Tribolium castaneum: one gene and its partners. The protein of the gene in region 3 interacts with the protein of the main gene of each other region in a pairwise test. Links are inferred from orthologs where the notes say so. Each region holds a gene or a part of one and is shown on either strand. Other genes may lie near its edges.

Region 1 (2,287 bases), on a different chromosome or scaffold from region 3:
ACGTGCCACGACCTTCATTACCTTGACTGATTCTCTTGTGAACTCGCAAAAACCTTCTCAGAGTGAATAAATTAAAATTAGAATCTTATATAACCTCTCAGCGATATTTCAAACTACGTCAGTCAGTGTTTATGTACTGATTTCGCGGCATAAAAATCTCAAATGCGAACTCGGAAAATGTGGACTTTATATTTAAATTTGTTTACTATTGGGGAAAAAATTGATTATTGGACTCACCAATTCAACACGAGCACAGATTTGATAAGAAAGGACGACAGATCTGCGCAAGCGCTAAAGCGGGAAGTTTGAAAGCTTGTGCAAATTTTGGCACGTGCTTGCTTTGTCTATGCATTTTTTTAATGAATCAGAAACAGATAACCAAGTAAACACAAAATTATCGGCTGATAACGTTGTTATGAGTCGCAATTTACGCATAATTACGCTCAAAACCAGCCGTTAAAAGGGTGATTTGCGAGCTAAAAATACAAAATTGGCACAAATAAGATATCAGGCTTCAATTTATTCAAAAAAAAGTTTATACAATGTAATCAAAATACGAAACTAGGTTAACTAGAAGTCTTCAGATGGCTTTATAAACTTCCGCTTATTTCTGTTTTTCTTCCCGCTGAATTTATTTGCCATTGTGTTAACTAGAGTGGAGTATTCCTGAGCCATTTGGGCGTCACTAACGTCGGTTTCTTTGCGTTTTTCCACCTCTTGTTTCTTCCTAGTGTAATCGTTAGACATCAGTTTCTCTATTTCCGGATTCATGCCACCAAATGATAAGCGCCCTTCGATTAAATTTCGGCAGTTAAAGATACTCGTTTCTGTGAATACAATGGTCCCGCTTTTCTTCATTTCGTCGGTGATTTCATTGGAATACATGGCTTTGCCCTCGGCATCTTCCTGCTCCTTGAGCACCCTTTCCTTCGTACGTTTCATAAACTTCATGTCCAGGATGGACTTGGACAATTGAACTGGTTTAGGCCCTTGCATACTTTTGGCTCAGTGAAAAACAATGTATAAAACACTTTTCAAAAAAATATAATTTGTTAGGTTAGAAGAACTGTCAGTTGTCACTTTGACGTGCCATTTTTATCATTGAAAGGTTATGATTTGTGTTTATTAAACAAATAAAATGAATAGAACAATTATGTCCGAGTCTTTCGCGGTGGGTATCGGGCCTGCGGCCCCGCGGGGCCGCTCGGCGGCCTCCGTTGCCACCACAGGTATTTCCCCATCGTTCTTTCCCCCTTTTTCACCGGCTTGTTCCAGTGGGGTCCGACCACGTCTTCGAAGTCCCCACAAAACTGATCAAAACACCGGCTGATATGAAAATCTGGGAGAAATCCGAGGCCTATTTTGTACAATTCCCTCTAGGCGTGACCTCATCTAACACTCTCATTCCATAGGAATTTTTGGGGTTCATTCTGGCCATAAACGAGGCAGTTAAAGGCAAAAGCAATTCGCGCGGGAGCGAAAACGCCTCCGAGGAAGTCCAGAAAGTGATCGAGTTGTTGAACAAGCTTGACACGAAAATCGACGAAACGCCCGCTGTACAACAGCCCCAAAGGTTCGGAAACGTGGCGTTCAGGACCTGGTACCAGAAACTGCGAGATGTGGGTCCACAAATTCGCGTTTGTTTCTATTCTGACGGGCGTTTTCCAGGAGTCGCTTGTCTTGCTCCAGGATGTGCTCCCGACTGAATTAAATGCCGCCGTCCCCGAGATCGTTTCATATTTGGTGGAATCGTTCGGGAATTCCACACGGATTGACTACGGGACGGGGCACGAAATTTCATTCATTATGTTCCTGTGCTGTTTGTATAAAATCGGGTTTTTGAAACAACATGATAAGACAGCCACTGGCTGTGCCATTTTTACGCGGTATTTGGACTTGGCGCGGAAATTACAAAAGACCTACCGGATGGAGCCCGCCGGAAGTCACGGCGTTTGGAGTCTGGACGACTACCAGTTTGTGCCGTTTATTTGGGGCAGCTCGCAGCTGTTTGGTAAGTAAACAAAAAAACTCTCGGTTTACAAAACGCTTCGGAAAAATTTGGGCCAAATTTAAGTTAAAAAAATTAAGATTAACGCAATTTCCATCCAAGTTTTTTCCACTATGTTTGTTTAGCCCATCCGATCATTGAACCGTCGGGTTTTTTGGTGCCGCAAATTTTAAACCAGTATGGAGAGGACTTCATGTTCCTCACTTGCATCCAGTACATAAACTCAGTAAAAAGCGGCCCTTTTGCCGAGCACTCGAACCAGCTTTGGAGCATAAGCGG
Region 2 (3,180 bases), on a different chromosome or scaffold from region 3:
TGCTTTTGTTTTTTATTATAAAAATAAATTTATTTTTTCTGTAGGTTTCATTAATTGGAATACCAGTACACAAAAGTAATTAACAAGACCAGACCCTCAATCCTACAGTCCTTTTCTTTTATATCCTAGTTAACAAAAAAACTATAGACTGTTTTGTCCAATCCCCATATGAGAAGTATTGGAAGTTGTGGTAATATTTATTCATGTTTTTAATGAAAAATGGGTTACTCGTGTTATATCAGGGAGTTTACATCAGCTTTCCCGTTATTTGGGTTTCGAAAATTTTTGGTTTCATACCTTTCACTTCAAAAATCAGTAGCTGTGCCATTTTTAAAGATTTTGAAATCGTTTTTTGGGCATTTTACAAAGAAAACAAACCTTTGCTTCAATGAGTTCGAAATTGGAAAAATGTTAAACTCAAAAATTTTTCAAATAGAATGTCCCGAATTTTATAATTCCTTTTCTATCAGCCACAGTTTGCAAACAAACAAATTATTAAGCTTGGGTTTCAGCAATGTTTTATGTATTTTTTTTAATGTAAGAACCTTTTTGGTCGATTTATTCTTTATTGCCGAGTTATACAAAAATATGTTTTTTCTTATAAATAATTTATTTTTTCTAGGTTTGTTAATCGTTATACCAGTCGAGAAACAGCAGCGAAAACGACATAACTAGCAGAAAAAACAGCACCCAGACCCTCAAGCCTGCATTCCTTTGAATCGCTTGTCTGATTTGCTCATTAGCGTCCCGCATGTTACTCGTAGCCCCCACGACGTTGTTTGCAATCCTTTCTATATCCTGTTCCTGTTGCAAGACCTTCTCCGTGAATAATTCCTGAAGTTCGGCAATGTGCACGACTTTGCTTTCCATTTGTTTGACTTCCTCGGACGTTGAGTTGAGCTCATTGTAGAGCATTTCGTTTTCCGACTCAAACATTTGCATTTCTTCAACTGATAGCTGGTCTTCGATATCGACGGGAGGGGGCGATACTGGGGGTACAATCGGGGGTTCCAAACTCCCTTTACTGCCAATTGTCTCCAATTTGGCCACTTTGTGCGTCTCCAAGACACGTTTCACGCGAATTGCCTTCGCCTCGGTGTATATTTTGCTAACTGTCTTTAAGTAGCGCTCGAGTGAGTCGATCACGTTGTGGTAGTGTTCCTCCTTTTGCTTGCTTTTGGGCAGCTTGCAAATTTCTTTTTTATAGTCGCTAATGAGGGAAGTACATGTGGTTACGATTTTCTCAGCTGTTGTGTCTATTTGCTCTCGGTCAACCTCCGTCATGGTTTTATTGGTGGATAAATAGTTTAGTACGTTCAAGTACGCTGCTTTATTCTCTAAGAGGAAGGTTTGGAAGTGCGTTATTTGCTTCACCACTTCTTTAGCAGTCGCCAAATTGGGGTCCTTCGGACCCGACTTCGGGAGCGCCGGTTTGGACTCTTGCAGGCCTAAGGCCTTGTTAGTCGTCCTCACAGTCTTAACACAAGCCTTGAAAAGTATTGTTATGTCCATTTTTGCCCCGAACAAGTGACGTGTACCTAACCTAAAAGCCACAACGTCAAAAAATTTATCAAATCAATCGAACGCACCGACAAATCACACGTTACGGCCGTAGAACGGCTTAATTAATTTAGAAAAGGGGGCACAACTTTCACAAACTCATAAAATACCGTTTTTTAACATTTTTGTGACTGGTCAAGTCGCCCTGTCAGCCACCGCGATTCGTTTTTGTTTACAATTGTTGAACATAACCAAACTTCCAGTCAAGCGTTATTCTGGAAAATGTGTGCGTCGGTAATTGGTGATTTCGTGAAAAACTTGCACTTAATGACCCTCCCGACGCCCCTCTGGGCCGTGCACATTGACCCCAAGGAGCAGTTCCTGGCCGTGTTGCACGTCAAGCCCCACTGTGATAAAGTGGTCATTGATAAGGGGGTGCTCCTGACTTGCGATAGCGGCACTTTAAAGACTTCCGTGTCGTTTCGTGACGAAATTGTGCAACTCCCGAGCTCAGCGTCCAAAATTGAGACAATTTCCGATCTAACAAGTCTCATTTATTCGCTCCATGATGTGCGGTTTTGTCTGAACGCCGATTTGGGGCTCGCCAGGTGTGCGAAATTTGTGCTGGGCGGGGGCGCAGACTTGTGCGAGTTTTGCTCGTTTGAAGGTAGGTTTAGTGGCTGTTTGGTGTTTTAACACTGGGGGTGTTAAGTTTTTAGTGCTGCGAGGGAAGAGCAGTCCCTCTCGTTCATAGATAGCCCCCTTTTGGACAGTGGTGAGGACAAACGTAAGGAAAAACAGTATTTGTGCACAGTGTGTGGCAAGACGTTCAATTGCTCGTCCGGGTTGGAGCACCACATGCTGACACATGCGCCCCCCGATGATAAGCCCTTCAAATGCAAAGTTTGCACTAAAGCCTTTGCCAAGAAATACAACTTGAATGTGCACGCAAGGGTCCATTCCGGTATTTTCTCAAAAAAAGGTCATTATTTTTTATTATAATTTTTTGTTTGTTGTAGGTGAGAGGCCGTATATTTGCAGCCAATGTGGTAAAACTTACTCGACTCGGAGCAACCTCTCGACTCACATAAACAGCACTCACTGTGATGAGAAAAAGCACCATTGCAAGCTCTGCGACATGTCTTTTGTCCACCCAAGAGTGCTGAGGATTCACATGAGGAAACATACAGGGGAGAAGCCCTTCATGTGCCAGGTTTGTGGTAAACTTTTTTCCAAAAATATTCATTTAACGATTCATACGCGGACACATACGGGCGAACGGCCCTATGTGTGTACGAACTGTGGGAAGGGTTTTACAACAACGGGCAATCTTAGTAAGCACAAAAAGATCAGTCATCAAGTGTGAGTAAAATCACACATCAGTTCACAAATAATAAATGTTTTTCGTATGCAATTTTATTATTACACCTAGAACTCTCTGATCATATTTATCCCTCCTGTTTGATGGCTGTAGAAAAAATATTGTGTGCGATACTTACCACCAATTCCCTCGAAAATGCCAATTTTTTTGCAAGTGACAATTTTGTTAATATTTCTGAACTGACGGAACAAAATTTTTGAGTTGTTTGGATAAAGAATATAGAAATTGTTGAGCTAAGTCGGTTAACAATAGCCAAAGTAGCTTTATTTTGAAATAAAATGGTATTTTTTAAGCTTGTC
Region 3 (2,136 bases):
AAAATTCCAAAATGCCATGGATTCAATTAGTTTTTGCTCAAGTGGCCTGTGACTGAAATTAAGTTGGCAACGATGAATAATGTAAGTTACAGAAGTTAATTTGGCAAAATGACTTCTATTGTCTGATGGTTTTGTTAATGAAAAAAAAATCTTTTAAACGCCTACTATTAAATCTCAAGTTTTTATTCATTTTGTTTTAAAACTGAAATAGCTAGTGATTTCTTCTTTTATTTTTAACATAAATACTGTCGGATTTCGAATTTTACAAATAATTATTTCATCATCATTATACAGTGGAATTTACTTCTAGAACAGCTCAAAAATCTCTTCTAGATTAAAGTTAAAAAAAAAACAAAAAACGGATACGTCCATGGCCTGCTATAATTAGAAACCAAACAAAGCGCAATCGTTGACCCTGCGCACACCTCTACCGCCCCGCGCCAACCTTCTGGAAACTTTCCAATGGTTGTCTACCAACGCAAATAAAATAAAACACTACATCAGGTGTACAGTATTTATTGAAAAAATACAATACTCGAAAAACTAACAATAATTTAATATAATCATCGCGTCAACACCATTTCTATCAACACAACAATATCATGAAAGCAATGTCTTCTACCGAGGTGTCAAACAAAATCACAAAATCCTCAAAACTCGCCACTGAACGTCTTTGGAAAATCACAGATTGGGGATTCGAGATCAGTGCTTCGCCCTTCTATTCTGTTCCGTGTTCATCATCTTGGTGACGATTTTTCTGGAATGTCCGCTGGGGTCGAAGTGGTTCGTGTGCTCGCTGACCTCCTTCTTGCTCCTTTGCTTGCCACTGTGGCCGCTGTAGATGTGCTTGTCGTACAAGAAGTTGTAATGTTCATATTCGTCGAAATGAGCTTCGGACATTTTGGTTTTTGCACGAGATTTTTTCACTGTCAAACGTCAATTCAAACAACTGAAGCGGGCCACAGCCGCCTGGGTTTTATACCCGTGGGGACGCACGCGCACTGCTGCCAACTCGAGCGACAAAGTCGCTATTTCCGCCGACTTGACCATAAATTAGTAATTTTTAATTAATTAAAATTAATCATATGCGCATCTGAAGACAGAACAATGGTTTTTTCACTCTTGGAACAGTCAACTCGACTCGGTGCCGCCTGTCCTTGATTTCGCATTTATTTATTTCATTGTTTATTTATTTACTTTCTAAATTAGCGTGGGCGTCTTAGGGTTTTTCTGTTGTATTTTATTGCCAACCAATACACCACGTGAACTTGATGTGGCCATGATATTTTTGCTGACGGTTATAATATAAATTTTTTACTGATAGTCTTGTTTTTACTGCGTCTAAATTATTTTTTCGTAATTCTGTGCAATATTGTTATTTTTTGTTATCATTACCTTCACAAAATAAGGTCACGGGGAAAAAAGTATCGAACGAGATGAAAAAATAATTGATTGCAGTGACCATGTTTTTAACATCAACTTGCACATTTCTGCTTATCTTCTTTCGATAAGGATCTATTTTTACACGTCAAATAGTAATTTTTCTTTCAAGAAATGTATATTTACATGTCTAGCCGCCACTTCCTTAATTATAAGCAGGAGGCAAAAATAAATTTTGGTTTACTTGGAAAAAATAAAAGGAAACGTTCTGGATTATTCTAGAAAAGAATGAACAGCAATTATTAGATTCGAGATTATCATTTGAAAGGTGTTCTAGAACTGGAATAACGGTTTGAATTTCTATAGATTTTTTTATCTGTTTCAAAACCAAAGATGTTTTTGATGTAAGTAATGATGATTGTGTAAGTAAATGCTAAATTAAAAAGCAATTTACGAAGGAATTGATGCAGTTTAAGTAAAAGGAGCTTAAAGTAAAAAAAATATAACGGGTTGTCTAGTTCTCTCGATTTAATTTTATTAATACGAGAAAAGAAAAAAATTAATTGTTAGAAACTATACCGGTGAAAACCTAGCACATTACTACTATTTTTGAGTGTTTTTTTAAAACTTATGTAAAAACTTAAAATCAAAAGTTTTCGCTATTGTTTCTTGAGTAATGAATTTTGTTTAATATGCTCGTATTTTAAAGCAAAAACAGATTACATTTTCCATGTTTCTAGCGTGTTTATTGCCGTT
Region 4 (4,286 bases), on a different chromosome or scaffold from region 3:
TTTCACTAGTTTTAAACTGGCTAAAAATTAGACACCGACTTTCTTGATTCTTCTTTTAACTTTGTCTTTTGTTTTTTGTTTATAAAAAGTTTACATAAAAATACATTCGCGTTAAAAAAATTATATAATTACTGCTTCAGTTAGACTCTCATCAAGGATTTGGCAACCAATTAAACACAAATTATTTGTTTACTCACAACCACATAAATAAAGACTTATTTCAAATGCTTAAACTTTATAGAATAGAATAGAAAAAGAAGTAATACTAGGTAAATAAACATCCTATTTTACAGCCAGACAAGTGTGTTAAAAACAGTAATAATAACAAAGTGTGATTATTATTTCACAGATGTTTAAAGCTTAATTTTAGAAGTAAAGAAAAAAATATTAGAGGATCCAAAAACTTAACAGAAAATATTGATTAGACTTTGGTTTCATCTTCAAAAATTGCAATGGAACAGTAAGACTTTTAAACCAAAAAGTACATAGTCAGAGATTAAGACAGTGCGTGCAAACAATTTATCGAAATTATTATAAATTATTACCAATTTGCGTTCCACTTTATATTTTTGTGGACGCTGTGAATTCGGCTGAAGGTACAAAAAATATAAGGAACAAACTTGTAGAGGATTAAATTTAAAAATTTTTGAAAGGTTTGAAGATAGAAATATCACTGGTATAGAGAGTGCATTTAAAGTAAAAATGAGTTAAATGCGATTATTAGTTGTTTCAAAACTATAAAAACGCCAATATCGCCATTTTACTGATATATATTTTTTTAATAAGATTAATAAAAATGTAAAATAGTTATTAATTAGATCTCTTATTGAAATTATTTTGTTGAAATTAACTGTTTTGAAACAGCTAATATATATATTTTAATTTGTTTTCCTTTTGCAAAAACAATATGATGAAAAAACACTTTAGAATACATTAATTACAATCTGATTTTTTTGTACAGGTAAAAGTCAATAACATCACCTGTATTTGTTATTAAAGGCTGTTACTCACTGTTTCTTTTAAAAAATATTAATTTTACACTCGGTTTTATATAATTTTACATATGTTTGTACCATGAGCAAAAATGAAGGCAAAAACGAACTGACTTGTATAATTTGGGAGAATTTTCCGCCCAAACAAAAACAGAAATAAAGATAAAGAGGGGATAAATGGGGTACAGTGTTTAAAAATAAAATCTTTAAAATATGAAAACTTTCCAGGAACTATTTTCTATCGATATGATGCTTAATAAAATTATGCAACAAAAGAAACGCAAACAAAATTTGTCCTGAACCTAGTACCACTGGAAAAATATAGAATATATATTTAAAAAATATACTTTCGGATATTGTTAAATTAAAATTATTATCTCCATTAATTAAAAAAATATTTAAAAAGTAAGATTTATTAAGTGCACACGAGAATTTTTTTAAATTTTATACTGCAACTTTTCAACATTATGTTCACACACTGGTAAGTAGCAATTATCCTTTTAATATTTATATAGAAATAACTTCTTAAATTATTTTGTTTTTTTACACCAATTAATAATTATTATTTCGTACATACCCCAAAAACATGAAAATATTAGTTAATGATTTTCACCGCTAAGCTCACGATATGGTGTCGCGATTTTTTTAAAGGAAATTTAACTTAACTCTCTACAAGTTTCTTACTAAAATTTTTCTTGTATATTTGTAAAGTATAAAACGAAGCGTAAATTTTAGAATTTAAATATATAATTCTTTCGCATGTTTCTCGTAAAAATGTTAGTCGTCAGCCTATTAAGAATGCAAAGCTCAACATTTCTGTAATTTTTTCCAAATAATTAATAAATTAAAATCGGTGTCGTGACGATATAACGTTCAAAGCGCCCTCATTTGTACTCTGCCGAACTATATTTTTTGGGTACAGAAAATCTCTTTTCGTCTCCTAATTCATAGTCCTCCCTAGTCGACGTACTTCCTATTTCAAAACTATAGAAAAAATAATAACAGCACACTTATATTTTTTAAGAGTCAAATCGATCACAAATTAAAATGTTCTGTGTAAAATTTGAACTATTTCCATTTAAGCAAAATTGTACCAAACTTTTCGCTCGCCTATAATTCAGTGTTGCCAACCGACTTTCACTCAAACCCCCAAATCACCAAAAACTAAACAATTTATTATTTAACCCAACTTACTATCAACACTTCCAAATTTGATAGCGAAGCACTCCTTCTTGGCCTCCTCGTCGGCAAAATCCGCCACCACCGTGTAAACAAACGCCTTTTCTGTCCCCTTACAGGGCTCCAGACTCATCCACGGCCTGATAAAATGATTGGCACAAACCTTCAAAGTCTTATCACGCCTCATCACTATTCGCACCGAATTGTCAAGTTGCAAAATTTTTAATTCCCCTGTGCCCCTCTCCTTCCACTCGGGGGGCTTACTGGACTTATCAAACCGGTACAGTTTAGCCCGCATTTTCAGCAACACCGTCTCATTCTCCTCGTTCGTGCGAACTTCGACCTCCGGCAAACTCACAATGGGCTTAAACTGGGGGTCCAGCTCGGTGTCGGAACTCTCGCTCAGAGTGCGATCTTTCGCCTCGGTGTCCTGAAAGCGTCCCCTAAACGACTTTTCCAAATTATTCAAGCAAACTTACGATAATTTCGGACATTTCGTGCGAAAACCGGCTTTCTAACCCAAAAATAACGACTTTCGTTCGTGTGTTGTGTTTTAACTGGGAAATGTCAAAATGGCGTAGACAGCCAATGGCGGGGCGGGACCGTTTGACAGACAGGGCGCCAAATTCAAACGCAATGTAAGGAAAGGCGTTTATTTTAGTTACAATTCGTTTCTGGGTAGGGAAAATGAGCGCAAAATGTTCAGACGGGTGCTCAGTTCGGCTTTCTTCTGCTCGTTCACTTTGCCCTCCTTCAGGATTCTCTTCAAACGCCCCAGCTCCTGGGTGACGAACTCCGACCCAGTTTCGACAATTTTCGACATATATTTAAGGTAAACGGCCGCTGTTTCCTTCTCCTTGTCGGTCAATTCGGCGGCTTTTGCTTGGGCTTCTTCCAGTTTTTTCTGCTTGTACCCCGTATTGACAAATTCCATTGCCAGTTTATCAAACTTTTCCAGACAGCCGGGAAGTCCAAGGTAGATATCGGTGTTGTCCTTCACAACGTTCCTCAAGTTATCCACAGTCCATTCGGCACTTTTGGCGAATTCCACCGGCGCCTTGCCCTTGACGAAGAGCCTAACTGCGGGCAAATCGTCCTTTCCGACCCCGAACTTAAGGGCCAATTGTTCGTTTTCCTTGTCGCCGTAGTCCTTGACGCCGACTTCGGCGAGTATGAGTTTGTCGTTTTGGGCGAGTTCTTCGGCAAGTTTGGTGAAAACATCGTGTTTCTCACCGTAGGGATAAGCCACGTCGAATTTCACCAAAACCGCATCAAATCTCGAAACAATCTTATCAAAATTGTACTCGTCCAATGAAACGCAGCCTTTGCAGCCGTTTGTTGGCCGCGTATAACTAAACAGAAGTAGTAGTGAGCCTAGAATGTAACTTGAACACATTTCTAACTTAACTGTGCGATGGTTTTCGCATCTATGATTACGTGTGGTGATAATAAACAAATGAAACAAAACACAAACCTGCGACACGTCAAACTCGTACTTCGTTTGTTTCACTTGGCCACTTGTTATTGGCTAAATTGGAGGTGAAAGAAAGCGGGCAGAGTTGCCAACTGAGGCACTTGCAAATTACCCAAATGAGGAGTTTTCTTATACTATTTTTCGTAATTTGCCCCATTTTTGCCGTTTTTAAGTGAAAATCGATTTAGGGATTTTTGTGACAATTGTCCCAATTTGGAAAATTTTTGTTTTATCCAAATTTTGGCAAAAATACGGTCGCGAATTTGCTTCCTGCCAACTTAAAAATTTTCGTAAAATGTTTAATCAAATAATGACTATTGTGACATAGCACTTGATGACGTTGCGTGCTTTAATATGGCTGTTAAAGGCATTAAAATGGCGACAAATTACAAAAATTATCTTTTAGATTTACTCTGCGTCTTTGCACAATTCTCCAGTAATGTTTAGAAGTTTTATAGATTATTCTTTATCAATGTTTCTCCACTCTTCTCTTGATTTTTCTTTAGATTATTTTATAAGTTCATCTTTAGGCTTGTTTATAAATTCCTCTTAATTATTTTGTAGACTTCTTTCAAAATAATCCTATAGTTTTGTTCAGACTTTTTTATATTCTTTGGTAGCATTTTCTGCTCTCTTCTTTA

What was found.
Region 1: the proteins of nuclear protein 1 (region 3) and Mpp6 interact in a two-hybrid assay, tested with the Homo sapiens proteins (2 studies listed by BioGRID and IntAct). The link is inferred for Tribolium castaneum from reciprocal best matches to the Homo sapiens genes NUPR1 and MPHOSPH6.
Region 2: the proteins of nuclear protein 1 (region 3) and Syx18 interact in a two-hybrid assay, tested with the Homo sapiens proteins (2 studies listed by BioGRID and IntAct). The link is inferred for Tribolium castaneum from reciprocal best matches to the Homo sapiens genes NUPR1 and STX18.
Region 4: the proteins of nuclear protein 1 (region 3) and ran-specific GTPase-activating protein interact in a two-hybrid assay, tested with the Homo sapiens proteins (2 studies listed by BioGRID and IntAct). The link is inferred for Tribolium castaneum from reciprocal best matches to the Homo sapiens genes NUPR1 and RANBP1.

The regions. Positions count from the first base shown.
Region 1 is NC_087398.1:4,380,000-4,382,286, reverse strand, and holds Mpp6 (M-phase phosphoprotein 6), read right to left. Parts: upstream 997-2,287; coding exon 571-996; downstream 1-570. Other genes in the region: Ptpa (serine/threonine-protein phosphatase 2A activator), read left to right, coding at 1,139-1,229, 1,276-1,364, 1,413-1,619, 1,669-2,011, 2,134-2,287. UniProt on the Homo sapiens protein: RNA-binding protein that associates with the RNA exosome complex. Involved in the 3'-processing of the 7S pre-RNA to the mature 5.8S rRNA and play a role in recruiting the RNA exosome complex to pre-rRNA; this function may include C1D.
Region 2 is NC_087400.1:1,050,987-1,054,166, reverse strand, and holds Syx18 (syntaxin-18), read right to left. Parts: upstream 1,732-3,180; 5' UTR 1,594-1,731; exon of another isoform or gene 1,590-1,593; intron 1,544-1,589; 5' UTR 1,513-1,543; coding exon 628-1,512; 3' UTR 547-627; downstream 1-546. Other genes in the region: zinc finger protein 239, read left to right, coding at 1,783-2,167, 2,213-2,464, 2,520-2,866. UniProt on the Homo sapiens protein: Syntaxin that may be involved in targeting and fusion of Golgi-derived retrograde transport vesicles with the ER.
Region 3 is NC_087399.1:2,801,017-2,803,152, forward strand, and holds nuclear protein 1, read right to left. Parts: upstream 978-2,136; 5' UTR 901-977; coding exon 703-900; 3' UTR 501-702; downstream 1-500. UniProt on the Homo sapiens protein: Transcription regulator that converts stress signals into a program of gene expression that empowers cells with resistance to the stress induced by a change in their microenvironment.
Region 4 is NC_087401.1:11,103,119-11,107,404, forward strand, and holds the start of ran-specific GTPase-activating protein, read right to left. Parts: upstream 2,809-4,286; 5' UTR 2,666-2,808; coding exon 2,651-2,665; intron 2,602-2,650; coding exon 2,187-2,601; intron 1-2,186. Other genes in the region: wbl (protein windbeutel), read right to left, coding at 2,833-3,567. UniProt on the Homo sapiens protein: Plays a role in RAN-dependent nucleocytoplasmic transport. Alleviates the TNPO1-dependent inhibition of RAN GTPase activity and mediates the dissociation of RAN from proteins involved in transport into the nucleus.